Linked DNA regions of Tamandua tetradactyla. The protein of the gene in region 1 interacts with the protein of each later gene in a biochemical or structural test. Links are inferred from orthologs where the notes say so. Each region holds a gene or a part of one and is shown on either strand. Other genes may lie near its edges. The genes, in order: CDH1 and CTNND1.

Region 1 (14,815 bases):
AAACCATTTCTTAATGATTAATGAGAGGAATTCTAGTCAAATGACTATGACTTTGGGAAACAGGTAGACTTCAATTCAAATCTCATACTGCCTTTTACTGGGGTGTTACATCGGGTTCCTTATTGCTTGTTCACCTCCCCAACCCTAGCATCCATTCCTTTCCCTTCTACGGAAGCTAGCTCTAGCATAGCACTAAAGGTAGAGCAAGTGACCTAGGAAAAGCCAATTCCAACAGCCTGATCACAAAATAATTATTTGGGGTTAGGTTTGTGACCTAGCCTAGTCCTATCAGAATGGATCTCAGGATTTTTACTGATGACATGAATAATATCTCTTGTTTGGAAGTCAGCCTGAGAATGAAGACCAACACAGAGATTTGGGCAGGTCAAACAGAATGAAACCACAGAGAAAAGCAGCTTGAACCTTGATCAAAATGTTGCTGAAGCTAGGACCTACTTTGGACTTTTCAGTTACATGAGGCAACAAATGGGCCTTATTGTTTGAATTAGTTCAAGTTAAGTGTCGCATGCAACCTTAAAAACATCATATTGAGTGAAATGAGACAGACACAAAAGGACATATATTGTATGATTCCATTTATTTGAAATATTTAGAATATGCAAATTCATAGACAGAATGTAGATCGTAGGTAACCAAGAGCCGAGGGGATCGGGAAGGGGGAGGTGATGATTAATGAATAAAGAGTTTTTATTTGGAATGATGGAAAAGTTTTGGCAAGGGATAGTGGTAAAGGTGGCACAACAGTGTGAATGCAATTAATCCACTGAGTTGTATACTTGAATGTGATTAATATGGGAGCTTCTATGTTGTATGCATGTTACCACAATAAAAAATCTCTGTGAACATGGAGAGCTAAGAGCCAAAGATACCTGGAGAGCTGATACTGAGAGCAGATCCCTAGACACAGACATTTGAAGATACTGAAGGAACACTTGCCAGGGAAAGCCAGAAAGACCCACAGGAGCTGAGAGAGCCATTTGAAATCAAAAGCCGGGGGGAGAAGGACAGCAGACATTGCCATGTGCCTTGCCATGTGACAGAGAAACCCTGGACATGATCAGCCTGTCTTGAGTGACGGTATCCTCTTGTTAATGTCTTAATTTGGGCATTTTCATGGCCTTAGAACTGTAAATTGTAACGTAATAAATCCCCTTTGAAAAAGCCGATCCATTTCCGGTACATCACATTCTTGCAGTTTTAGCAAACTGAAACACTGTGTGATTGTATAAACCTCGTGACTAATATCCCCTTTATCTAGTGTATGGCTAGATAGGTAATAAAATAAAGACATGCATGAGGAAGAAATAAAGACATGCATGTCCTGACCTTTAGCAGTTAAACATGGAGATGAAGAGGATTTGGAGGCCAGTGGGCCTGGCTTCCAAATTCCAGCTCTGTCATTTTTACTCTGTAAACTGGGCAAATTTCTTTATCTCTCAGCCTCTGCTTCCAAATTTGAAAAAAGGATCTAGTGACAGCACTCAAAGAGCCATAGGAGCATTGATGAAATAATGCATATAAAGTAAGGTTTGAGTTACAATAAATGGTAGCGATTCTATCATACAATTTAATGCAATTATTGGCATTTAGTACAATACCTGGCACACAGTAGGCATTCAATAAATATTTAATAAATAAATGGATGAATGTTTATTGGTCTGCACCCCCCACTACCTTATGTACTTTCTGAGGGCAGGGACCATATTTTATTTCTATGTTCCCAGTTTCAAATACAGTGCCTGGTGCATGGGGGTACTTGATAAATGTTTATTTGCCTAAATGAGATAATGGATTTGAGCGGTCATCATGCATGGTGCTAAAGCCAGGAGGTGAAAGGATGATGGGGAAATTGATAATGGTGTCAGCTGATTCCCAGCATCCTGAAAGTGAGTCGACCAGACAATTGTGTGTGTCCTGATACGATGCCATGGGAAACACCCACAAACTTATGAAATATTTTGCCTGGAAATTGAATCTACATTAAATCAAGCCTCTAAAGCTGAGTAACAGTTTACTGAAATATGGGACATACAGATAGAGGAACATGTTAAATGACACTGTGAGGATGCATTCTAAATGCAAATGCAGGACATTCTATGGGACAAGTGGCCAGGTTTCTTAAAAGAAAAATTAATGCTATTGAAAAAGTATGATGTCCAAATAAAATTTGGAATGATGTCTAAACAAAAGCTTTTTAAAACATGGGTATGTTAAATATCTTTACGGTGCTGATGGTCTCACAGCATATGTATATGTCGAAACTCATCAAATGGTACCGTTAAATATAAACAATTATACCTCAATAAAGCTGCACTAAAAAGGATGGGAAGACTGTTACAGGTAAAGAGAGACTTAGGACACAAAACTGCCAAATGCAATGTGTGGCTATATTTTGGATCCTGATTAAAATAAGTTGTAAAAAGAAAAAAATAAATATTTTAAAAGGCGTTTTAAAAATATGGCCTAGCCATTAGACACTGTTGAAGAATTATTGTTAATTTTATTAGGTGCTATTACCTAACAGCATGATGGTTATGTGGAAAGAAACTTCTTCCTCAATTATAGATGCATAGTGAAATAGTCACAGGGGAAATGGCATGTTAACTGGGGTTTGCACTACAAAATCCTACAAAAATAAATATTAAAAAGGAGGAGAGATGAAACAAGACACGGTACAATCCGAAAGTTAACAAATCACAAAACTATAAAAAAAAAACAAAACCACAAAAGATCCTGGTTGAAGCTGGATGATGGAGGCATTCATCACACGGTACAAAGTAGAGATTATTTTCTTTACTTTTGTGTTTGAAATAAAAATGTTTTGTGCGGAAGTGAATGGCCGGCTGCAAAGGGCGGTACCCCTATCGGTTACCACCATTTTCACAGAAAGCTGAAGTGGGGTGTCCAGTTCCCTCCCCCGCGTGCTTGGCCGGCAGCCCGGCCCGGCAGAGACGGCAGGAACCTCCTGGAGCTTTTAAAACGGAGCCTCCTCTACCGGTGAGGTCGGGAGCCCCCGTGGCCTGGGTGCAATCCTCCGTCCGCAGCGGGCTGGGGTGCGGCTGCTCTCAGCCGAGGCCCGGAGAGGCGCTTCTCTCCCAACCTAAGCTCCGTATTTACGGTCCCTTCGCCGGCCCGGCCCGGCAGCACTGAGATGAAAGGGACAGTTCCGCCTGGGGAATTAATCATTAGCTTTCCTTCCTCGAATGAACAGACCAGTCTCCCCAAACCCAGGAAATGAAAGTCCAGCCAAGCGGTATGCCCAACTAGGAAGGAGAAGGCTTGTCATTCCATGGTGCATGCTCGCTTTGCAGTGGCTGGTGTCACCTACCTGGAGTGATCTAGAGAGCACCGACCAGGACTCTCGTCAACATTTCTTTTCCCAGTCCATGCCAGGAATTTCACCTTTAGTACTAAACGGGCCCTCAGGGATCTCAACCCCTGGATTGCAATTTGATCTGCCTCCAATTGAGAAGGTAATGAAAGCAATAGGCAGTGCCACCTGCACTGACAGGTTCGCATACAATCTCAAGGCTTTCATGGCACACATACACACGTTACCCCCTCCTCTGGCTACCCCCTCCCCACCAGAAACCATGGATTAACACCAGGCTAAACCCTGCATAGAATTTACCAGATCTAGAACTTTCATTCCTTTGAAACAAGCAAGGTCATTCCCCAGAGTCCTCTTTAAAATGTAAATGAGCATGGGAGGGACAAAATGGCTAGCCATCCAGTGGAAAGAGGTTTTCCTAGCAAATGGGAGATAGATCCTAGGAGCCTTTAATATACTGGGGGTTGGAGGAAGCAGAGTTTGAGGATGAAGAGGCTCCCAATTTTACCTTCAGCTGGGATAGGAATGTGTCAGGCAAAGAGTGCGCATAGCTAACTAACAGAGCACTTAGAATCACCTTGCGAATTGTGTGATGTCAATAACCTTGTGAATTAAGTGATATCAACATTTTTATGGATGAGGAAATCCAGACTTGGAGAGATAAAGTGACTTATCCAACCCAGCTAGTCGCAGAGCTGGAATTTGAACTCTCAGTCAAACTGAGAGCAAAGGCCGCCCACAGCATGGCTTGCCGGCTCTCTAAACCCGCTCATCTGATCCTTACAACTAGCTATTAATGTCCTTGTTTGATTAAAGAGGAAATGGAGGCAATTCACAGTGTTGCCCAAAGTCACACCTTGCCATCCACACAGGGAACCCCGCACGTTCCCTCCTCACCCTGGACAGCTGATGGGGGACGGCTCTTCACGACCCACCCTTGGGATCTTGGAGAAGGATTCAGACTTGCCAAGAAGTCTGATGAGAGCATCAGGCCCAACCTGTCCTCGCTGCCCCTAATTGTTTTCTAAGATCCTTTTTATTGAATTATCAGTGTGTAATGGAAGAGTCGATGAGCACTGCCACGGAACTACAAGGCCAGGGCTTGCTGGGTGGAAGAGAGCAAAGCCCTAAAGGCTCCCCGGGCCGAGCGATGGTATAAAATATGCATTTTTACATAACTGGGAGAAAAAAATAAACTGACAAGGCTGCCCCATGGGGGAAACGCCTCTTTCTGTATTTCCATTATCTTGTTTAATGCACAATCCGGGCAGGAGCCTCGGTGGGAAAGGAAATACTGGAGCCTTTTTGCTCCGAGCCTCCTGGTGGGTTGAGAGGCAGAGAGAGCCAAGATGCAGCAATCCAAATGGCCTGGGTGTGTGCTCAGAAACCCATTAAAACTGAGGGGACTGTGGGGTAGAGGAGCTGTAGCTTTAGGTGAAGAATTCCAAGCATGGCTTTCCCAAGGAGGAAGGGAAAGAGGTGGGTAGGCTTTTCAAGAGAACAACCTCTACACCAACCACATATTGAGCAGTTACTACTATGTATGTGCCAAGTACTCAGTTTAGTGATTTAGCTGTTCATTTCAATACGTTTATACAGGTGAACACAATGACTTGCCCAAGGTCACATGGCTAGGGCGCAGTGAACATACTGTTTTGTAGTTCTGACCCAAGCTTGCAGGATGGAGGGAAAGGAGGTGCTCTTCCCAAGTAGCCAAACCATGGCCACAGAAAAGGGAAGTTGTCCGACCTAACGTTAATCCTGTCTATTCTTTTTGCAATCCTAAAATTGTCTGGGAACAGAATTTTCAAGAGAAGGTGGTGGTGGCTGTGGTTTCTGTTAAGAGCCACAGTCTGGAAATGAGATCTTGGGTTTTAGTCTCAGCTTTAACATGATGTTAGGGAAGTTACTTGCAAATAACAGGTTTGGGTGATCTCTAAAGGGATCTCCTCCAGGTCAACATTAAAGGATGGTTTGAAAACTGCAGCTCCAGCTGGAAGACTGCCTGGCTTCCCAAGAGGGAAAGCATAATAGTTCAATGCAAGGGCCCTGAAGGTGGGTTCTGGTCCTCTGCCTTCTCTTACTGGCCTCCTTAACCTCTTTATACCTCAGTTGCCCCATCTATCAAATGGGAACAGTGACACTGTCCTTGGGGTGCTTTGAGAAGGGATCAAATGAGATGGTCAACTTCAGTCAAATGCTTAGCACAGTCCGTTCAATGCCTAGTACTATTATTATCTCTCACAGCCATGCATGGCTTTTATCTTACAGGAAACAGTGGCCTTATTAATTGCATGGGAAACTCGCAACAACCTAGGGGGGGACTTTGGTGACCATTATTCTCATTTGGAAGGTGGAGAAACTGAGGCTGGGAGAAGCGTTCCTGACCTAATGAATCCATTTGGTAACTCATTAACCGATAGAGACCTGCAGGTAACAAAACAGTACTAAATAAGAGGCAAGGTCTTTTCAAACTCCAGTCACCCACGGCGGGACTGGGATTCGAACTCTCTAGGAATCAGAGCCGTGCAGCCCCGAGTCCCTGCTGACCCTCCAACCTCCAACCTCACAGCGACTGGTGACCCTGTCAGCGCGGGGCCGAGGGGCGGGGCGGTGGCGGGACTGTGGGCGGGCTGCCCGCCCCCTGCCCGCCTGTGGAAGCTGTAGCCCGCGCCGCGCCGCTCATTGGCTGCAGCCGAGGCAGGTGCGTCTTCAGCCAATCAGCGGCGCCAGGGGCGGAGGCCTCGGGGCTCACCTGGCGGCGGCAGCGCTGTCGGCCTCAGTGGCGTCCCGAGCCGCGGACTACCTGTGAGCCTGATAAGTACTGTTAGACTCCAGCCCGGCCCAGCCCGGCCCAGCCCGACTCCACCTGACCCCGCTCGGCACCCGCCCGGCCCACCATGGGCGCTCCGCGCTGCAGCCTTTTCGCGCTCCTGCTGCTGCTTCAGGTACGTCGGTTCCCCTCGCTGTGAGGGGACACCTTCCAGTCCCCCGACCCGCTCCCAGGCCCCGCGTCCCCTCCTCTCTCCTGTCATCGACTTCCCCCTTTTCCGAGAAAGTTTGGGTCCCCTGCAGCAGAACGGCCTGGAAGCTGCTCGGCGCTCTGGACTCGGCGGAGGAGGGAGTGCGTGAGGGTGAGGGAGGCTTTGCCCGCCTCCTCCCGCATTTATCCGCGGCGGGGGGCGCCCCGAGCTGCCCGCGCTCCAGGGCCGGGAGTAGGTATGGGCTTGGGGCAGGCAGTTGGAGCATGGAGCATGGTGGGGCTCGGGATGCCGAAAAGGGGGAGCCCCGGTGCGAGTAAAAGAGAAGCCAGGAGTAGTGAGGCGAATCGCCGAGGTAAGGAAAGGGAGGTTCAGAGAAATAAAGGCACCTCCCGGGTGAAGAAAGGGGAGCCCATTAGGAGTGGGGCGCCCTGGGATAAGGATAGTGGGGTCAAGAAGGCTTGGGGCGCCTCCTGTGTGAGAACCTGGACTTTGGATTGGCGGCGTTTCCCGGTATAAGGAAAGTGGTGTCGGGAAGAGTCAAGACGCCTCCGGTGAAATGAAAAAGCATGAAAGAGACCGGAAGAAAGAGGGGACTAGGTCGTGAGGAGGTGACCCAGCGCGCCCCTTCTCCCCCTTTTCTCGAGTTCCCGGAGACTTGGCCGCTGCAGGTTTCGGGGAGCGAGAGGATGACGCCGCTGCCGGGGGTGGGGTGGGGGTGGGGTTGGAGGTGTCCTTGCACAATCCCGACGCCTCGAGCGAGGGAGGGGCGGCGCTGTGGGTTTCGGTGGGGGCAGGAGGGGACCCCCTCCAAGTAACCCCGGTCCTACACCTCTCCTCCCCTCCCCCAGGTCTCATCGAGGCTCTGCGAGGAGCCGGAGCCCTGCCGTCCTGGCTTTGGTGCGGAGAGCTACACGTTCCCGGTGCCCCGGCGGCACCTGGAGAGAGGCCGCGTCCTGGGCAGAGGTGGGGACGCGCATTACCGTGATTGACCTCTGCGGTTGGGGGGGTGGGGGGCACTTATTAGAGGTCTTCAATATGTGTCTCATACTGTCCTGACAACTTTAGAGATGGCCTGTCATTTCGGGAGGGAAAAGCCCGCTGGGAGGTGGGGGGTATTCCGAGCAGATCAAGGCTTGGAGGGGAGAGTCCACTGGCTCACGGTCAGCAAAACTGGGCTCTGACTCCCAGACATAGTTCTGCTCCATCTCTGGGATGACCGAGGAACCCTCACTTGGTTACTGGGGCTGTGGCTTTTGCTCATAGAGATGAAATCATTTCCATGCAGGTACCTCAAGGAATAATGGTTTTTGAAAAAAAAGTTCGGTGGCTGTGACTCAGGATGAAAATACACACAAACGCCCAATGCCCTTCTAGACCTTATCACTGTGATAGCCTGGTTTCTAGAGTTTGCTTTGTTCCAATTCACCCTTGCCCAGGGGTGGGAGCCAGGGAAGGATTGGTTTCTTTTCTAGTTTCACTGATTCCTAGGTGCTTATTTCTTATCAAACGTCTTTCTCCTCCCTCATGATCTTAGTTAACTGTGGGAGTATCATAACAGTAAAGAAAAGCCTTTTAGAAAGAGGAGCCACCACATTTCCCCTCAGGCATCCACTGTGTTTATTCTTCCAGTCCTTGACCAAGTGAAAAATATGATGCAGCAATCTTTTTTTTTTTAACTTTTTAAAAATTTTTTTATTAATTAAAAAAAATTACAAGAAAGAAACACAAACATTCTTGACATATGCTCATTCCATTCTACATATATAATCAGTAATTCACAATATCATCACAGTTGCTTATTCATCATCATGATCATTTCTTAGAACATCTGTGATTCAGCAATCTTAATTTTTTTTTTTGGACCTTTGGAAGTTGTCCCACAGCGGGTGGCATTTTCCCCCAGAGAAACTGAGGCTCAATTGATTAAACATATTTACCGAACCCCAGCTTTGTTGTGTGGAGCTTCTTTTTGGGTCAGAAAGAAAATGTTGTCTCACTGATATTGCGGCGGCTTGACCAATTTCTCAGTTCTTGCCTGTGCTGGGCACCAGGGAGTGGATAGAAAAGAGGCAGGAATGGGGACACTCGAGCCTTGGTCTCAGTATTTCATATTGTAGCAGGTTCCTGAGAATGTCCTAAGGCCTCCTTAGGACACTGGGACATGGGAAGTTAGGTGCCAAAGGGTGTGGGCAGCCTGGAGTATTTTGGTGGAGTCAATGGACAATGAAGACGTGCTTCTGGGAGGAGGCAGACTTTGCCCAGGCTTGAAGAGTGGGGCAGGTGTGTTTGGGGGGGGATGAACTGTGGATGGACACTGTTGGTGGTCTGTTTTCCTGTACCAAGACAATTGAGCACACTTGGTAGCTTCAAGGGTGGGTTGTTCTGTTACTACCCAACTCATAGTTTCTACCTCCCAAACTCATAGTTTCTGGCCAATAATAGCATTACATGTTAATAATTATTATCATTGTTGTTAGTAGCAGCTCCTGGTTTTCACTTTTGAACTACACTCTGGGGCAAGTGCTTTACATTTTACCTCATTTAGTCTTCACAACAGCCATCTGAGGGAGCTCAGACATTCAGTAATCTGCTCATGGAACCACAGTTGGGCTTTCTCCTGTCCTTTTTCTCTTCAGTCATTTCAAACAAAGGAAGCTGTTTGGGGAAATCCTGTGAAGAAGACTATCTGTGCCCTGGAGAACAGAGGTGCCGACGGGTGGGACCTGGGTGGGACCCCTTAGAGGAGATGGTGGTGGTAGAGATGGATCAGACCAGGTGGGAGGCAGAGGGCAGGGCTGTGGCTGGTGGCTTTTGCGGGAGAGGCAGCTTCAGCCAGTCCTTCACAGGCTTTTTGTGTGATTTGTTCCTCTTCCCTTTATAGCCACAGACCCCACCCCTACTCGACAGATCTCCTGATTTAACTTTTTGTTTGGCCTGTTTGCACCATAGGGTCTCCTTATTGAATCAATGAAGGATGGAAGTGTCTTTTGGAAAACGACACAGTTGACCTTAGGGACTAGCTTTGTGATTTAACAAGGCAGCCAGGGTTTGGGAAGGTGGTCTTGCTCTCACTGGACAGTCCAGGATAATGGAGGTCTAAGAGATTAGCACCAGGTTTTAACATTGGCTTTGGGGAGAATTTGCTGCATGGGAGCTGGAGAATATGGAACCTTTCATTTTTTTCCTCCTTGGGTGACTGTAGAGCATCGGTTTTGACCCAATTCAGGGGTCCTCAGGGCGTTTTGCTGGGGTCACTCCTGTGCCCTAGGGAATGGCTGATCTCACCATCTCAGCCTATTTATTCCATTGGTTTCTCTCCAGGTTCTAGAATGAAGAACATTAAAAAAAAAAAAAAAAAAACAACAAACCAAATGAGTTATTCAGAGCTTGTGATTAGTGTTTTCCTTTTCTTTAGGACTTTGGTTTGAGAAACGCAGTCTGTTAAGACAGTTTGAAATTTTAGCAGTATTAGCCTAGTGAATACAGCTTTAAGTTGAGTGGGGGTAGAGGTGGGGAGTATTGGGAACTGGACACAAGAAAAGCAGGCAGGCTTTTGATCCAATCCTTTCCTTGCTTTGCTTCCCCTACAGTCTGGCCTTGGACAAACAGGGCCTGTGTTTTGGGTTTGAGCTTCAGCTGCTTGATAAGTAACTAACTAACTCACAGGCACCCACATGTGTAGATTAAATACACCCATTTCCCCTCCTTTCTAAAAGATGTGATGAAAGGGTGGCAGAAGCAGTATCCAGGGCCTCTAATTAAACTGGGCTTAAAAAACAAATACAAAAAACCTGTTTGGGGATCGCCTTACATCATCAGATGTTTCCCCACCCTTCAGATTCTTAAGCATCACTTCCCCAATTACTCAGGTCTGTGCCAGGGGTGGATGCAGCCCTTACTAGGAAAGACTCATTGGCTGCCTTTCTGCCCCTGCCTTTGTGTCTCACCAAGAGCGGAGGCGGGAAAAGTCCTGGTCCTGGGCCCCCGCAGCCATTTAAGGAAAGCTGGATGCAGCTCCTTCCCCTTGGGGACTGCTGGACCTGCCCACCTTTCTTTGCCAGGTGGCTGTGGAACTCCCTGTCTCCTCTCCAGGGCTTTTCATTGGGTGAGCCTTTAGGAAGGAAAGGCTCACCTTGGTGTCTGTTACACTCTCTCTTCCAAGCGGAGCCCCAGATAAGGCAGACGCTGAAGTAATCGGCTCTCCCATCTCCCAGAAGCTGCCAAAAGCCTAAAATCCCCAAGAGGCAGCTGTCACAATTCAGACTCGACCTTTCTGGGTTTCTGTTCTGCCTTAACCCCCATCTCTCAGGACATTAGGCTTTCCAGGGAGTCGGAATGGGATCAGTAGGCTTGCTTAGTATAGTTCATTGAATAATAAAGTCTGTGAAAGATTCAGACTTGACTTTGTGCTACAAAATACATGACCTTGAATAAGTCACTTTATTTCTCTGAGCCTTAGTTTCCCCATCCATAAAATGGGGGAATAATAATATTTATGAGCTTGCTATGAGAATCAGATATGCATGTTCATTCATTTATTCAACAAATATGAATGTCTAATCAGATATGCATGTTCATTCATTTATTCAACAAATATGAATGTCTATTTTGTACCAGTGCTGGCTAGACCCTGGGATACAGTAATGAATGAAGGAAATAATGACAGAACAGAAATGTATAAAGATGAAAAGTCATTAAATGGTGGCTAATAATTTTTAGGGTTATAGTAGGCACTCATTTTGAAGAAATGAACGGATGGATGAATAGTCACTACCCCTCAGACCTTGGCTTTATTTTTTGCTCTCAAACACTCTGGCCTGGGGCCAGCCCTTGAGGTTGACTGTATGCGCAGCAAAGAGTTTGGTCTGTGCCCAGTTGCTCTTACAGCCAAGCTCGCAGCACTAAGTATCCTGGGAATACTGTATACTGAATGTTCAAACCTGAATCGAAATGGAGGAAAGGGGCTGTTAGTAATTTTTAAGTGTTTTTCAGTTTTAGTCTTGTGGTGGCGCCTTTTCTTTTTTTCTTTCTTCCCCCCCACCTCCCGCCTTTTTAAAATTTTAAACTCCTCCTTTATAAACCCAGCTTATGCTTATTACTACTGGAAGAGCTTTCCGCACTTTTTCTTTTCTCTTTCCCTCTCTCTTGTTTATCTCCAATCCCCACTTCTACCCAAGACCCTGGTGGCATCGCCCCCCAGATTTAGAAGGTTCTTCTGTCAAATTGCCTATATTTAAATCCAGGTAACATCCCTTGCTAATCAAGCCTTGGCTTCCCCATCTGTAAAGTGAACATAATAGTACTTATTTCATAGGATATGTGTCAGGTGCTTAATGAATATTAAATATGAGCTCCCATAGTTATGAGACCCCCACCCCCACACTAGAGGACTTGGAAGTTTCTTTTTTGAGACTCTCCCGGTGTTTTACCTTTGGTTCAGATGTTTCCCTGTGCTCCCTCCCACACGGCAAACCAGCCAAACCAGTTTCCTCACACTCTCTGCTTCTGTGTTAAGCAAACTCTGCTCTGCAAACAGTGACTCCACCAGAGTGCTTTTTGTTAGGAAAGGAAATTCTGTGGTGTTTTCTTGCTTGTCACTAAGCAGTTGGCTTGGGGTGGGCTGAAGGAGGTTCCCCTTGGGGGGTAAGAAAAGGGGAACCTGCTCAGGAATATCATTTAGAATTGATGCCGGAAGAGTAAGGCCAGCAGCAGCTGGGGGTGGGAAAGCAGGATGCCCCCCCCCTTTTTTAAAAAAAAGTATTTCATAATACAGATACCTGAAGATACCTCTGTTCTTCAGATGCCAAAAGTGCTGTGTCCCACCCCCTGAGACCATGGTTCACCCACATGGCTGAGCACATTACATCACTTCAAATACATTTTCTGTTGTAAATCCACTGAGCTAGGGTCTCTTAACAAGGGGTGGGATTCTAGACAGCATTTTTAAAAGCTCCCTAGGTGTCTGCTGCCACCCCATTGATTCATTGCCCTGGACAAGCCCATGGGTTGTATTTACACCAGATGAGTAAATATCTGGTGCCAGCCAGGGTGTGGGCTATCCAGTGACCAGCCTGGAGGCCACAGATCAAAAGGTACCCTCAATCAGGAAGGGATAAGGCTGGGCCTCACTCGGTCTTGCCAGCCAGTGAGCGAGAGCTCTGTGGGTGCGAAGGGGAGTGGGCAGGAGTGGGAGCAGCAGGGGACCCCAGAGAATCAGCAAGTGCACAGAACTTTCCCTTATGTGCGCCCAGTGTTGGGGGTGCCAACTTGATTAAGGCCCAGCCCTTGCCCTCAAATGGATTCCAGAAAATTTCTGAGAGACCCCCCCCTAAGTGGAGAATATCAGCACAGTCTGAGAATGCTGCTAGGGTGGGAAAATGTTCCAGGGTGCAAGGAGCAGCCAGCTTGAGCCAGGCTACCTCAGGGCCTTAGGTCTTGGTGTTTGTTCTTTGGTCCAATAACAGTAATGGAGAGTTTTCTCTTTCTGTTCTTTTAGTAGGCAAATCTTGGCATCCCTGTTTTTTTTTTATGTACATTTTTGCATATATACAAATACGTGTGTGTGTTAGGGAATACAATGAAAGTTTTCTTCCCACCCTTGTACATTCTTCACTCAGTTCTTCCCCAGGGCACAGGTAGCTATTTCTTCACAGGTAACTAATTTTTATTAGTCTCTTCTGTATCCTTATAGAGACACAAAAATAGCCTTATTTCTTTAGGTAAATTTAATAATATATGGTGCATATACATAAAAGGATAGCATACGGTAACACTGTTCTGTTCCTTGCTTTACTTCCAACAATCTATCTGAACATTCTCTCTATATTGGTACAAAAAGAACGTCCACATTTCTTTTGTTTTTATAGCTGTGTGGTATGGATGTAGCATATCTGCTAGTCCCCAGTGGATGGACCCTGGGTGTGGGGAATAAACTAGTACCTATATCCTTTTGCACCTGTTCTGGTATATTTAGACGATGAGTTGCACAGGTGGGCCTGCTGGGTCAGATATCTGCATTTGTAATTTTGCCAGATATTGCCAAATTGCCCTCTACGAGGACTGTATTAATTTTTACCCCACTGGCATCCTGAGACAGCCAATTTCCCACTGTTCCAGTGGACGTTTTAAACGAGATTGGGAGAGGTGTTATGTGCCTGTGTCTCTGAAGACAAACAATTTTGATTTGGAGATAATTTGAAGGTTTTCAGCACCTAGGTGGTTCTAAGGCAAAAGTTATTTCAGTAGTTTCTAGAATGTTCCTTTGCCCCAACACTGGGAATAGAGGAGGAAGTAGAGCAAGTTGTGGGAGGAAAATGAGTTCCTGGTTAGAGATGTGTTGAGTTGAATGTCTAAAAGACTCAGATGGAGTTCTCAGAGCCATTTGGGAATTTCAGGTCTAGAGCTTGGACGTGCATTAAGGCACCAGTTTAAATGTGAGTTTAAATAGGACCAGGATCTTTTTCCTTCACTTTTATGTCAGCCTATCAGACTTTTTTCATATATCCCACAGACTGGAGGATGAAAATGATAGAAGGGTTATGCCAAGAGCATTTATTTGAAGGTGACTGACAAATAAAAATTCAGATATTTGTACCTAGTAAGCCCGCCCAAGGACTTTGCAGACTTGACAGTTCAGTTCATTGTCACATGGTCCAAGGTCATTAGCCAGCACTCTGTAAGAGGAAACTGAGGCCTAGAGAGGTTGGACACCCTACCAGGAACTGGCAGAGCTGGGGGCTACAGCCCAGAACTTCTGTGTCCCAAAACCTGTGCCCTTATCCACTCCCCTCTCCGGCCTTGTGGTCAAACTCAGCATCCCCAGTGAAACCTGAGACACCTCAAAGAGAAACAATTCCCTCCTTCCCTTGGCATCTTCCTAATTTTAGCTATGATGCTAGAATTCTGCCTCTTTTTACCTTTGAAAAAACAATTGCTTATGGGAGATTTTCAGCCTTTTCACTTCTTGACCTTCACTTCCATATACGTGGCTTTTCTTTTAACTTTCTAGAACCCTGAAAATCTAAATTAGCATTCAAAATTAGGGGGTTAACTGTCTTATGCAAACTCATGTTCCAACTAGGACTGACTCAAAGTGCTTGAGCCTAGTGGAGATCTGGTTGGAGACCTGTCTCCTAAAAGGGGGAGAACTTACCCACATCTATCATTGTGAGATCAGATATTACTACTGGGACCCAATGGGGCCTCCCTGAAAGGATTGAACTGTTACCTGTGAGCAAGATCATAAACGGCCAGCACAGGACTCTGTGGGATAATTGGGCAAGGCCTAGATAATAATTAGCTGGTTTTGTAATTAGGAGAGCTGTTTGTATGTAATAAGCCTAAAGCCTTTCAGATTTATCTTACCCGGGCAAGTTCAAGGCTAAGAACACCTGTTTCTGTGGTTTAGCATTCTAACATGCTGATAAACCTTCTCCATTCCCAGAAGAGTTTTCCCCAAAGAGAAGTTTGGGTGTTTTTA
Region 2 (14,815 bases), on another chromosome or scaffold:
TAAATCTCCAAAAGTATCTGGATCCACAATATTACACATGATAGTCTTTAAATAATTATTAAGTACCTCAAGATAAAATTTCATTCAATACAGTTTTAGTTCCAAGCTATTAATTCATTCTAAGCCTATTATATTTTAATTTCTTGAGTGTAGGCTTTCTTAACCAGTGGGTCTTTCCATTTATTTATTATCTGAGCTACTTACTATAGTTTATAAATATATTAACCACTACTTTTTACACAGTGCTTTGGACCACTTCCCCAGAAAGGAAACAAGATAAAGGAAAACATTTAAACTTAAAATCTTCAGTTTTTTTCCAGAAATTTTGCTTAAAAAGTGGAAGGGAAGACATGCAGAAAAGATCAAAACTATAGTCAAAAGTAAAAGTTTTAAAATCTCATTGCAATTTTATTAATCTGTTGTTTTACTTTCTATTTTAACTTTCTTTCAGCCTTCCCCACAGTCCCTCACTGATTCTCATCAAGCGCCTTATTTAATCAAGGCTTACTGAACACCTCACTATGTACCAGACACTCAGATAGGTGCTAAAAGGATAGAGATAAGAAGATACCTATACTCAAGCAGCTCACAGCCTAATGGGAAAGACAAAAATAAACTATTACAATACAGTGTGATAAATATTTGAACTACCTACTAGTTGATAGCATCATTCCAAACCACATACTTGAAAATTCTCTGGAAAAAGAAATTTCACTGATAATCAAATGAAGTTTAGGGCATTTCCAGTAAGTTTAAGAAATAAGACAACAATGGCGCACATATGGAAAGACCCCTGTTCTAAAGATTGAAATGATATCCATTTCAGTATATCCAGTTCTCCATGGGCTTTAAGGAAAACATACATTACCCCAACATGAGGGGGTGGGAAAACTCTAAATGTGGACCCACATTGCACAAGATGAAACACTTGTGCCTCTAGCAAGGGCTCATTTTAGTTATGGCTGTTTTTTCCATTCTCTCTGTATCAGTAAAGTCCATGGACTTTACAGTTGGTCAGCTCAGTATTTAACCCTGGCCTTGGTCACTTACTAGCAGTGAGATTTTCAGCAAACCTCTTAGCTTTTCTGAGGTTCAATTTCCTTCAAAAACAGTTGTGAGGAATTAAGTAAATAGTGTATGTAAAATGCTTAGTACATGGCTAAAAAGTGGGTACTGGGTGGGTGGAATTACTAACAGGAGTTCATCAGGCACCAAAATAGAAAGTTATAAAATATAGAGCACTAATCATTTTGTTCTTCCAATTGATAGTGATCTATGCTTAATTTATCTGCATCCATCCTATTTCACCCATTCCTAAACAGCAGCCCTCATAAACCGAAGGTTGGATAGCAATTACTTGAAGCTTTATATTTTTAAGATCTTCACTAGTCCCAATTTTATGTCAGTTGAGACAACATGTTCTAGCCCTTGTAACTCTCCATAATTGGAACCCCAAGAAAAGCACTAGAACTCTAATCCCTCAAAAGGGAAGCCACCTGGAATACAGACCTCACTTACATAACAAAGAAACCAACAGTATATAGGAGTCGAACACAGAAAGGAAAATGCGCACACAACCCATACTCGTCATTCTTTTTTAACCCAAAACCAAAATGAGAAGCAAAACAAAATACTTTAAAAATAAATAAATAAAAGGAGATTTACATATGCCCACCCCTTACTATATTTCCTGAAAGAACTAGTGGAGGTGAGGTTAAAGACAAATCTTCCATTTTTTCACCCGAAAAGCTCTATATAGCATACACTAGTCAAAACGAAGCCTTCGGTTCATGAAAATGGTCCTGGACACTAACTAGGAAGCTTAGGGCAGCTACAAAAAGCCCAGTATTTAAAGTCGGACCCAAATCACCACCACTCATTCATCCAGAACCTATTCTCAAATTGCCTTTGTACTCCTTCAGATTCCCTCATCCTTCCCCCTAAAGGTTGAGTGGGAAACCGACACTCTGGTAGCAATAAGACCAATCTTCTTAAGATCCACCAAGAAACCTCCCTAGGCTGGAGATAAGGCAGAGAGAACACTTGAAAATTTTGGAAAATCTTAAACAAGAACTATAACCCAACACTGTGCACGTTGTCTTCTTTCTTTTTAACGGCACTTGCTATAATCCTAAAATTAAGATATTAAAAATTTACTGTAGCCCTCACACGGATAGTAAAAAGAGGAACAAAGTTCTATTTCCTCCTGAAGTCACAACCTCACAAGGATGCAATCACCTTTCAAGAAATATTCATTCTAGAAAAGAAATTCAAGGAAGTGTTCTAGTCTAAAAAGAATCAGTGGGGGGAAGGGGGTGGAATGACGGGATTACTGAAGATGCATATCAGTTTAAAGCTAAGAAGCAGTTTACACATTATGGCTCATCTTGTTACAATTAGGGCAGTATCTATCCCTAATTATAGATTTCAGACTGATTAACATTTTCAAAGGGAGAAGGAAACCAGTTCTCAGCTACTGATGAGTTGGTTATATAGCCATCTAGATTTCGTATCTTTGCAAAAATGTATTTGCAAAAGCAAAACAAAACAAATCTTAAGATCAAATATAAGATATGAAGCAGTCATTGGCTCTTACAGAGCTCTGATTTCATGATAAATTAACCAAACAGAAAACTCACCTCCAAAAAACAACTTCCAGTTTGGTTTAAAAATTAAAATTCCCCTTGAACTTTCTCAAATACATTTTAAACACTAAAGTGTGTAAGCGGTTTCTCCTAACCTAACCTTATGTAATCCACTGCCCTTCTGGAAAGCATAAAGCTGAAAATATTTTCAGGTGTGTTGCGATTTAACTCAGGTACACTAAAAAAGCATGATTAGAATTTCCTTATCCCTTTAAGCAAATAAACCAAACGTTATTATACTGGCAGATTTAACATACAACACACCCACAAATCTTTGCTATCAAAGGTAGTTTTAGGAGGAAGAAGGGAATGGCAATTCAGTTAACATGGATCCATTTGCTTTCTTTTATAAAGCAAAGCAGGGAAGCTATGGCTACAGGAGAATGAGGCTCCCACCTACCGCACCTGGAAAAGTAAAAGAGGGATCCACCCAGAAACAGCAGCGCTGAAACCGATTTGGGCTGTTCAAACTCGCTGGGGGTGAAAAACACCACCATTTAAACTGCAAAGCTCCCTGCAACTTTCCATTTCCACAAATCCAACAATAAAAGAAAAAAAAAAGTTTTGAAACATATGAAGAACCATCTGTATAACTAGCTTCCGACCCGGACAAATTCCTTTCCCAGCCCACACGCAACATGCCAAAAAAATAACTTTTGGTTTGGGCTCTGAAAAATGAATTATGTTAGCTTAATCCAGAAAAAAAATCCAAAATCAGTGAACCCACAAAATGTAAATTTACAGAGCTGCTCTTAATCCTCTGAATCTATTTATCTCCCTGAGAAGACCTAGAAGTTTGCTTCTAGGTCTCGCATATTTTACTTTTCTTTAATATCATAAAATGCCAAAATCCCCCAAAGTACTGAAAGTAGAGAGAAGAAATAATAATTGCTTAAAAGTCACCCGTCAGCATAGCAGACTCTAGTTACCGTATGACAAAAAATTCAACTGGTTTATCCTCCTTTGCCCGTCTGTACACACATTTTTTAAAAAGGCACACACCTCAAATGCAGACTTCTAAAAACCAATCCTTTAAGAAAGAAACCCAAGGCTTCGCCAATGTGCTGAGAAAAACAAATCCAGCAAAGCAGTTGATTTTTCGCCACCTCTTCCTCCTCTTAGGACCTTTCTTGCTCTTCTTTCTCTCTCTCCCTCTCTCTTTTTTCTCTGAGATCCAACACCTAAAATGGAAGTTGCACCCAGCCAAAGGCAAGGAAGCCTGGGTGGTGACAAACTGATCTGGCAGCCCTACCCCCTCGCTTTCCTAAGTGATGTCAGCCCCTGAGAGCTTCCAATAGGAATCAGGCATAAATCAGGGAGCTGCCCTTATCCAATAGGAAACTTTAATATAGGAAATTAAAAAAAAGAGAGAGTGAAAGGAGGAGGAGGAGAAAAAGAGACAGGGGGAAGTTTTATATATATTTATCTTTAAAGTGGAGAGTCATACAATCTCCGAGGAATTACTGCAGAGCCCCAGGGGGGCTGAGGGAAAAAGGGTGTTTTAGAATTCAAGCCTTCAATTAGATGGTGGAGTTCTCACTCCCTCTTCCTTCTTTTCCAGGTGGGGAAACAGAAAAGAGCTTATTTTATTTGCCTGCTAGTGTGAGGATTGTTGCTTTCTAGCCTAAAGCATTTTCTCATAGACAGCAAAGGAAGGAGAAAGAAATTCTGGAAATGACTACTATTTGTTCACTGAGATTAGGGATGGGTGCAGATTTTGTGAGGTAAACTTAATTTCATTTTCTTGGTTTAATTGCATTAGAACTAATGAGAAAAAAATAAACGTCTCGATTTATTAACAGTTTTTAGTCTCTATAGTTTCAATTTGAGAAGAACTGAATCCACTGAGCTGTTGAGGAAAATCACTGCCTTCCCATTTAATCCCAAATCAAAATAATGTGGATTTGAGGGGTAGAGAAAATGGAAAGCAATAAACACACAATATATTTAGAGGAGTTAACAGTTTGTGTAAAGAAAAGTAAGGCTCGCCCTAAGAAAATTTCATTTCCTTGTGAACTCCAAGCTGAAGTTGATATAGTTCATACATTCTTTCTCTTTTTACACTTAACCTGAATAAATGAATGTAGGGGTACTTTTTCCTGGGTTCAGAGATACCCTTAATATTTTCTTTGTTATGAAGGAGATGGGCTGGATTTTTTATATGTTTGACAAAGATTAGTATTTTATGGTCTTTCCGTGATTTTTAAACAAAGATAATAATGATAAATTAAAGATTTCCTTTTTCTTTCTTACTGAAAAATCTAAAATCTATCCTGTAAACTCTGCCAAGTGAATCTTCACCAAGTTTTCATAACTGGAATAGTGGTTAATAGCACAGGCTTGCAGTCAGGCTGCCTGACTTCAAAGCCCAGCTCTGTAAGTACACTTACTCCAGTGGACCATCATGCACCTTTGGAAAGTTATATATAATCTCTCTGAGCCATGTTTTCCTTAACTATAAAATGAGGATAGTAACTGTAAACCAATATGCATAAAGTTCTTAAAACAAATGTATGGCATATAGTATAAACACAGTAAGAATGAATTATTATTATTATCAGTAACCATTCTGTTCAAAAGCATTCAATGGCTCAACACTGCCCAGAAGTAGCAACCATCCTATCATATTAGAGACACTTCGCACTCATCTCTAACCTCTTAAATACGACAATGCAGATACTATTACCACCATTTTATACATGAAGAAATCAAGACTTAGCAAGGTTAGCAGCTTGCCTAAGATTATCTAAGAAGTGAGTCTTTCATCAGTCTAACTCCAAAACCCATCCTCTGTCTATCACATTATACCGTTCTCAGTCAGAATAAGGCCAAAATCTTTATCTGCTTTCAAGGTAGATACCACTTTTACTCAATATGTTAAATACATTACTTCTGACCTTTCGTTATATATCCAAACTGGAATTCCACTCCTCAAATCAGGAGTACTTTTCAAATCAGGTTCATCTAGTCATTATCCACCTCCGCAGATTTGACCTCGAGTCTCACAGACTCTCATATTTGGTTTACAGTGGTCAAAAAGGACATCTCTCAGAGGTGCTGGAAGAGCACTTGTCTGGTGGCTTTAAACAAACGAGAGTAAGAAATAAACAGCCTTTAAGTCTCTAAGATTTTTTTCTCACTGCTTTATCACATCTTCTTCCTCCACTCTCCATTTACTCCTGGTCCTCTACAGCAAGTCCAAAAGCCAAAGATGACTGTCAAAGGAAACAATCAGCACAAATAATGTTTGTTGATTCACTGGTTTCTAGATCAGAGTCATATTCTAGAATATTCTAGGATTTTCAAGAAATGGATGGATTAGTCTTATTTCCTTCACTTTTAAGTATGTTGCCTTCCTTTTTCTTTCATCTGTGCCTGTATGTTTTCCTGCCTCTCATACCAGAAGTTAAACTCCACGAAGACATGGCCAGTATCTTCCTTGGTCACTGTAGACCTCCAGAGCTCAGCCTTCTACCTCCTACTTAGCAGCAGCTGAATGAATCGCTTAAGTCTCTGTGCTTCCTAGCTGTGTAGTCCTGGACAAGTCATTAAACATTAATAAATTTGTGGATAACATTCAAAATAGAACGATATACAAATCAAGACAGATAATTTAACAGTGAAAAAGACGTTAAACTTTAATTTTCTCTGAAACAGCTATCTCAAATTAGGGCATCACAAGCATTAATTTTCACTGGCTGAGGGAAAAACTGTTTACACTCAGTTAATAGAAAACAAAAAGACTAGTTTCATCTGATTATTTTGATTACCCACAGTGAGTCAGGTCCTGGTGTAGATGTCAAGGATAATAAGATAGACATGTTTCCTGCTCTTATAAAGCTTACATTCTAGGATGGGGAGAGAAGATTAATAAATAAGTAAGATAATGTCAGATGGAATGCTATGCGGAGATTTAAAACAGATTGATGAGACTCCCTTGAGGCTTACTCTAGATAGGATGTGAAGGACAAACCCTCTGAAGAGGTGACTTTTAAACTGAAATCTGAATGATAAGAGGCCGACCATGAGAGGATATGAGCAATGGTAACTGCAAATGCCAAAGCCCTGAGGTGTGGGGCTGAAAATACTGCGTTGGGCAGAACTTGTCAGAAACAAGGATGGAGAAATTGATGAGGATCAGAGTATGAAGGGTTCTATAGGTCAGAGTAAATAATTTGGATTTTATTCTTAAATAGAGGAAAACCTGTGGGGTTAAACAGAATAATTACATGATCTAACTCACGTTTTGAAAAGATCTGGCTGCTTATGTGACAAACAGATTAAAGAGTGGGCAAACAGTGAAAAGCAAGCAGACAAAGGCTGTTGTAGGGGTCAAACTGCAGTGTTGGGGTCTTGGACTATGGTGATAGAAGTAAAAAAAAAAGGAGAGAAGTTAATGGGTTGAGGATATATGTTTTAGAGACACAGGGCTGTTTTTGTTTGAGATGCTTCTTTTCTCCTTTTCTGTCTCTGTTTCTTGTTTTGTTTTTTGTTTTTAATGCACGAAATATTTCAGCCAAAGCTTGGTTTTGCAACTCTCAAAGCTTAACTCCCCCACGCACCACCATCACTACATACATACATACACAGAAACACAAGATACCATAAGATGGTGAAAAATTAGGGGAGAACTGAGAGAGTGGGAAAAAGGTGTTTAAAAAAGAAATATTAGGGTGAGCCACAGTGGCTCAGCAGGCAAGAATGCTTGCCTGCTATGCCAAAGGACCGGGGTTCGATTCCCGGTGCCTGCCCATGTAAAAAAAAAAAAGGAATATTAAGGTTATTACACAGGGCAAGGTGCTGTGCTGTATCTTCTAAAATAAACTAAAACTAGAAAGGCCAAGGAGTGGAGATAAAAATAATTCAACTTCAAAAAATCACTGGCTATCCCCGTAAAGGAAAACAAAATAGTTTTACTCCTCTCTACCCTCTGGTAGCTACACATTACTATGTGTAATGTGTAAAAGTTTGTCATTTTGGAAGCCCTGGGTAGGACTGGCATTTATCATTCCCTTTAGAAATTCCACCAACACAAGATTTCACTAAAATGATGTTAGATTCAAAATAAAAACAAAAACTGATTCCTCCCGACTTCTTGAAAATTAATTTAATAGTGATGGAAATATACCCATAAGGGGATGTAATATTTATATTTTCTTTACAACTTCCACAGAATCACATATACTGATCCTCTGCCAGCCTAATCAAGTTTTGATTCTGACAGCAACAGAGGCCAAAAACAAGCATTGTTCTTCTGCCTTTCTTTTGGGGGTGTGTGCTGCTGACAACTGCTAAATTCCGCTAAGTTTTATGTCCTTTCACAAACTGCTTCCTCACCAAACTGCAACCGACAATGTCTTCTGTTCCTCCTTTCTTTTTCCACCCTAAGAGCAGAAGCCTCAAACTAGGGAAAAATACCAACCACTTGACTTAGAAATATCCCTTCCCACCGCCTCAGCCCTCCCATATGTCAGTGTGCCACCCCCAATCCTTTTTCAAAAGGGATTCGATATCGATCCACTTAAGATCTACTTGAGCACACTTCACTACTCACCTCTCTCTGGTCTGTGCTTTTCCAGGTTCCCCTTCTCTTGGACATCTTCCTTTCCTGGGCCTCGGTGGCGGCTGCTCGGTCGCAACTCACCACGCTTTGTCACCAGGGGTTTTGGACTCGGCCATGTGCATCTAGGGCTGGACGCCACGGGACATGCACCGAGGGACGATACCCCAGACCAGGATCCCGAGCTTCACTCACACAAGGAAACCGCTGGCCAGGAGCTTTCGCACGCAGCCTGTCATTCCGTGCAAATGCTTAATCCTGAGATCATTTCCTTTTGAGGACCAGTCCTGAAAACACCTATTCCCAGACAGACACTGCGCTACACAAATCACCTCTGGAGGAACCACGCCTGAAGGGAATTTCGGGCAATCCTCTTGGTCACCAGTTCTCCGGGGGCCGGGGCTGGGAGTAGATTCAGTGAAACACTCGAATTCAAAACTAGCCCAATGACCTTGTTCCAGAACATTCCTGGCCTTGGGAAAGGAATGTCTGAGCTAGAGGGATGCGGGCCGATGTGTGAGAGAGAGACCACCAAAGACTTTTTCCTCCATGAAGCCCGCAGCCCTTATAGCAGCCTCTTCCAGGGGGAAGAGGGAGCTGTCCTTCAACCGCCTCGGGGCCTGTGACCCTCTTTCCTGGGTGTCCTCCTCGAACTCAGAGAACACGACGGCTTCCCTGAGGGTTCCTCCCGAGCTGGCCCTGGCCATACGTCTCTCCTCAGCCCTCAAGTCCCTCGAGAGTTAGCCTCCCGCCCAAAGCTCTCCTCCTCCTGTGATTGGCTCTCCGTGGAACCTCCAGCCAATGGGGAGGACGTACTCAGGCAGACGTAGGCCGGCTTGGGGGGGGCGAGGACGTCGTCCCCCGCGACGCTCCTCACGCGAGGTAGGCGCGGCGCGTGACTCGTGGTCTCGCCGCGTGGCCTCGGGCGCTAGCTGTCACCGCTGCCCGGTGCATGTGGGCACCGTGGCCCGTGGCCGTACGAACGCACCAGGGAGTGACTGCAAACCCCATGTGGCCTCGAGGTGGCAGTGAGGGCGAGCCCTGAATCCCGGCCCCCAGGATCACCCACGCTCCATTCCCAGAAACCTTCGCGCGCCGAGAGGTCTGTCTTCAAAGGAGTTGGGCCCGGGGCGTGCGGGGCGCCCAGCTTTGCAGGGCCTTTCCTGAAGCCCCGTGCCGGCAACCCCGATTCCCTTGGTTCTGGAGGTGGAGGGGCACTGCCCCGGCCGTCGGCCTACCTGTGATGCTTTGCTAAACCTTTCTGCGGAGAGGCTGGACTTTGGGAGGCAGCAGGGCAGGCTGGACAGAGGACCCAAGCACAGAGAAAACGGCAAGAGTAACTCCTACTGCAGATCGATTCCAGGTTAGGCCTGGGGACAAAGCCGTTTGTCCGTGGGCTGGAAAGCTTCCCCAGGGCCTAGGTTTGGGTCCTTGGGATAGCTGCCAGATCAGTTGGCTTTGATCCAGTTGGCTCTGATCAGTTGGCTCTGATCCGAGTTGCCCTATCCTTTCCTGTCCACTCTTTTCTTTCCTGACAGTTCTGACCTGAAGCATTAGAACCCTCGGTGCCACCTGACAGAAAACTGCATGCCAGTAAAGGGACACAGCTGTGCAGTGAGTGTGGGAATTTCAGTGCAACCAGCTGGAAAAGTAGGAATCCTGAAGTCAGGATTTGCAGTTTGTTTGGGGAGGGATAGGAAGCTTAACTATCCTTGCCCCAGGATAGTTAATTCACCACTAAGGAACCTTAAGGCCAAATTATTTGCCAGTTTCCAGTGTCATTTGGGTTCACTGTGTTCAGGAACCTCTGAGCCAAGAGTAGCCAGTGTTCTTATTTCTGTGGGAGACCTTCCACCACGTCCAGCAAGGCTTCTCTTCTTTTCTGTGCACCCTCTGCTGGTTAACGTGATTAGAGACAAGAAGATGTGTGACTCCCTAGAAATAATTTTATACCCAATACTGTTTCTTCAGAAGTGGTTCATCTAAAGATTATACCCATGGAACTATTGTGCTCCAGAAGAATATGAGTAGGGTTGATTTCCAATGGTAATATGAATGAGGAAGGTTAAAAGATAATAATAATAATGATAATAAAAGTTACCTTTCTTGGGTAATAGTCATGTGCCCGGCATGTACTGTGCTAAGCAATTTTACATGCATTGGCTCATTTAACCTTTAAAACAGCCCTATGACATAAGTACTCTTATTCTTATTTTATAGATGAGAAAAGTGAAACTCTGAGAAGTTAGGCTATTTGCCTGGGATTGTACAGCTAGCCTAGTAAATAACAGAGCCAAGATTCAAACCTAAGCTTATCTCTGAGCTCCTATATGTAACCATTATGATGATATTCTGCCTTCTTAAGATATCATTGGCACAACTTCTGGGATTTTTTCACTCACTCATGTTATCTCTCACTTTCTGTATTTCCCTGCCATTTCAAAGACAAAAGGTATAAACATGCCTCTAAAATATATTATCTCACCACAGGAATCTTATCTGTGAAAACATAGAAGGTTTGTTAAGAGACTACAAACATGTATTCTCCTGCCAGTCCCAAAATCCTATACAGGAACCCACGGTTCCTCCGACTAGCTTTTCTGCAGCTTCATCACCAGCAACAGAGTGGTGTGTTCTGTGATGTCCTTCTGCAGGCAGAAGGTAAGAGACTGGTGGGGACTCAATTGGAAACTTAAATAAGGTTAAATGAGTTTAGGACTAGGGGATGAGAGGGAAAACATGTTATTACCAGATTTTTTTTTCTTAAATTTTTATTTTGAAATAATTTCAAACCTAACAGGACAGTTCCAAAGTAATACAGAGAGGGTAGGCAACAGTGGCTCAGTGACAGAGCTTGCCTGCCATGCCGGAGACCCAGTTCAGTTCCAGGTGCCTACCCATGTTTAAAAAAAAAAAAAAGCCATACGGAGAACTCCAACATATCCCATCCAGAATACCAAGAACCACCAGTTTTAACATTTTGCCACAGTGGCTGTCAGTCCATCTCTCCATCAATCTATTTAGCTATCTATATATCTATATCTATATATTTTATTTTCTAAACATTTGAAAGAGGGTTGTATACATCATTCTCCTTAAATACATAATACTTCATGTCATTTTCTAAGAACGAGGATATTACCAACCACCTGAAGTTAACAAGTTCAAGAAATTTAACATTGATATAAAGTTTACAGTGTATATTCCAGTTTTTTTCTTTGTCCCAATAATGTCCTTTTGGGCCTTTTCTCCTCCATTATTAGATCCAGTTCAGGAGCATGTATTGAATTTAATTGCCATTGTCTCTTTAGTCTCTCTCTCTCTTACGGAAACAAATATAACATGAACTTTCTCATATCAACAGCTCCCAAGCATATCATTCAGTGGGATTAATCACATTCGCAAGGTTGCACTACCCTCACCACCAACCATTACCATAACTTTCCCATTACCCTAAAGAAATCCTGTACCTATTATGCCTTAACTCCCCATTCTCTCACCCCCACCATAACCTATAGTCTACTTTCTGTCTCTATGATTTTGCATATTTTTGCTCTTTCATTTAAGTGGTTACATACAATATCTCTTCCTTTGTGTCCGATTTATTTCACTCAGCATGATGTCTTCAAGGTTCATCCATATAGTAGCATATATCAGAACGCCCTTCCTTTTTTAAGGCTAATAGCCTATACCACGTTTTGTTCATTCATCTGCTAATGGACGTTTGGGTTGATTCTATCTTTTGGCTATTGTGAATATTGCTGCTGTCAATATCAGTGTTTAAATATCTGTTCAAGCCCCTGTTTTCAATACTTTTAGGTATACATCTAGAAGTGTGATTGCTGGGGTCACAGAGTCGTTCTGTATTTAACTTTTTGAGGAACCACCACATTATTTTCCACAGCAACTACACCATTTTACATTCCTACCAACAGTGTACTAAGGTTTCTATTTCTCCACATCCTCACCAGCACTTACTTTCAGTATTTTTAATAACAGCCATTCTAGTAGGTATGAAATGGCATCTCACTCTATTTCCCTAATGGCTAATCATGTTCAGCCTCTTTTCATGTGCTAATTAACCATTTGTATATCTTCTTTGGAGAAATGTCTATTCATGTACTTTACCCATTTTTAAATGTTTGTCTTTCTTGAATTGTAGGAGTTCTTTATATATTCTGGATATCAAACCCTGATGAGATTTCTGGTTTCCAAATAGTTTCTCCCATTCTGTTGGTTGTCATTTCACTTTTTTGATGATGTCCTTTCACTCTCTTGATAATGTCCTTTAATGCACAAAAAGTTTTTAATTTTAATGTTTTAAAAACATTTTTTTGATGTTGCTTTTGCTTTCCATGTAAAGTCTAAGAATTTATTGCCTAAGACAAGGTTTTGAAGATCTTTCCCTGTGTTTTTGTCTAAGAATTTTATAGTTTTTAACTCATATATTTAGATCTTTGATCCTTGTTGAATTAATTTTTGTATGTTGTGTGAGGTAGAAGTCCACTTTCATTCTTTTGCACATGGATATCCAGTTTCCCCAGCACCATTTTGGAGAAATTTTTCATTCCCCATTGAGTAACCTTGTCTGCCTTGAACAAATTTGCCATAGATGTGTGGGTTTATTTCTGAACTCTCACTTATTTTCCATTGGTCTTTATGTTTGTCCTCATGCCAGTACCACACAGTTTGGGTTACTCTAGCTTTGTAATAAATTTGAAATTGGAAAGTATGAGTCCTTCAACTTTGTTCTTCTTTTTCGGGATGTTTTTTACTCTTCAGGTCCCTTTCCCTTCTGTATAAATTTGACTATTAGCTTGTCAATTTCTGTGAAGAAGGCCTTTGGAATTTTGACAGGCATTGCATTAAATCTGTAGATCACTTTGGGTGTTTTTAGCATCTTAACCTATTAAGTCTTCTGTCACTATATCTTTCATTTACTTAGGTCTTCTTTAATTTCCTTCAGTAATAATTTGTAGCTTTCTGAATACAAGTCCTTTACATCCTTGTTTAACTTTATTCCTAGATATTTTATTCTTTTAGTTGCTACCATAGTTATTACCATCTTTGAGCACTATAAGCTACTTAGTAAAGAACTGTTTTTAGGACAGTTACTGTTTTCAAGAGAGAAATTGTGACTGTACTTTTCAGCCTTGTAAAACAAAACTAATTATAGAGTTTCGTAAGCGAGAAATTCTATAAAACGTGGATAGTAATATCCTAAAGTGATGGTTGTGAAGATTAAGAGTTAACATATATAAAGCACTTAAAACAGGGCTTTTTGAATGTGCTAAACATGGTTTAATTGTTAGATGAAACTATTATATATTTTCCATTTTCTCACTAAGCTGTTGCTTAATTTAATTTTTTTCTTGCCTTCAAATCAGTGATTTTTGTTGTTGTTAGAACTAAAAAATTTATAGCTTATTTCCACCTCTTCTCTAAATACTTGAAATATTTAATCAGATGAGGTGGAACCCAGTATAATGTACAAGGCTCAAGTTGAGTTTAATTATTTAGTTTTGTTATTCAGTAAGTGACAAGCGGGCAAGTAACTTCATCTGGGACTCAGTTTCTTTATTTATAATAAGATTATGGCAATCAGCATTGTGTAGCGCTCTACAGTTTACAGAGTACATATGGTATAGTATCTCATTTAATTCTCTTTTTTAATTGTTAAATTTAACATATACAAAAAAGCAATAAATTTCAAAGTACATTATAACAAGCAGTTATAGAACAGATTTCAGAGTTGGTATGGGTTACAGTTTGACAATTTTAGGTTTTTCCTTCTAGCTGTTGACAATGGAGACTAAAAGGAGTATCAATATAATGATTCAGCAGTCATACTTATTTGTTAACTCCTATTTTCTCTAACTTCTCCTTCTCCTTTGATCTTTTTCCCAGTCTTTAGGGGTTTTTAGACTATGCCCATTCTAACTTTTTCATGTTGGAAAGGGCAGTTGATAATATGGGATGGGGATGGAGCTAATTGATGTTCCAGAGAGGCTGACCCCTCTGGGTTTCAGGATTTATCTGGCCTAGGAACCCCTCTTGAGGTTGTAGATTAGTAGAAAGTAATCATAGTGCATGGAATTTTTATAGAGTCTCAGAGCCCTAGGCGTTCTTTTAGGATTGGCATGAATGGTTTTGGTTGAGGTTTGCAAACCATAGTAAATAGCAATATCTAGCCGAAGCTTATATAAGAGTAGGCTCCAGAATAGCCTCTTGACTCTATTTAAGCTCTCTCAGCTAACTTTTTTTTAAAACAACAAGAAACTGTATTGAATTACAAATTTAAAAATGAATGACTTAATTTAAAAGTGGGAGTAATTTTACTCCTTTCTTAAACTCATTCTTTCCAAAAATGCACTTTATTTTTTAAGTAACAATGCAGTAGATTACTTTGAACTCACAAAGTAAAAATGGGCTGGTGGCAGGGGGCCAAATTTTACAAGTATGGGTCTTAACATGGATGTTTAAATATTGTTTTCTGTATTATATCAAACTGATTTGCAATAAGACATGGGGAAAAAAGGGGGAGTGGAGGGGAGTATCAGGCATGGACTCAGGTCTCTTTAGCAGCATCTGACAGAATGCACATTGAGTG

The links.
Region 2: the proteins of CDH1 (region 1) and CTNND1 form a complex in vitro, tested with the Homo sapiens proteins (5 studies listed by BioGRID and IntAct, with this or other methods). The link is inferred for Tamandua tetradactyla from reciprocal best matches to the Homo sapiens genes CDH1 and CTNND1.

Annotation. Positions count from the first base shown.
Region 1 is NC_135342.1:62,712,360-62,727,174, forward strand, and holds the start of CDH1 (cadherin-1), read left to right. Parts: upstream 1-6,124; 5' UTR 6,125-6,252; coding exon 6,253-6,300; intron 6,301-6,732; exon of another isoform or gene 6,733-6,902; coding exon of another isoform or gene 6,903-6,944; intron 6,945-7,184; coding exon 7,185-7,299; intron 7,300-14,815.
Region 2 is NC_135335.1:19,839,076-19,853,890, forward strand, and holds the start of CTNND1 (catenin delta-1), read right to left. Parts: upstream 8,922-14,815; 5' UTR 8,245-8,921; coding exon of another isoform or gene 8,200-8,244; intron 3,895-8,199; exon of another isoform or gene 3,648-3,894; intron 1-3,647. Other genes in the region: BTBD18 (BTB/POZ domain-containing protein 18), read left to right, coding at 10,743-10,866. UniProt on the Homo sapiens protein: Key regulator of cell-cell adhesion that associates with and regulates the cell adhesion properties of both C-, E- and N-cadherins, being critical for their surface stability.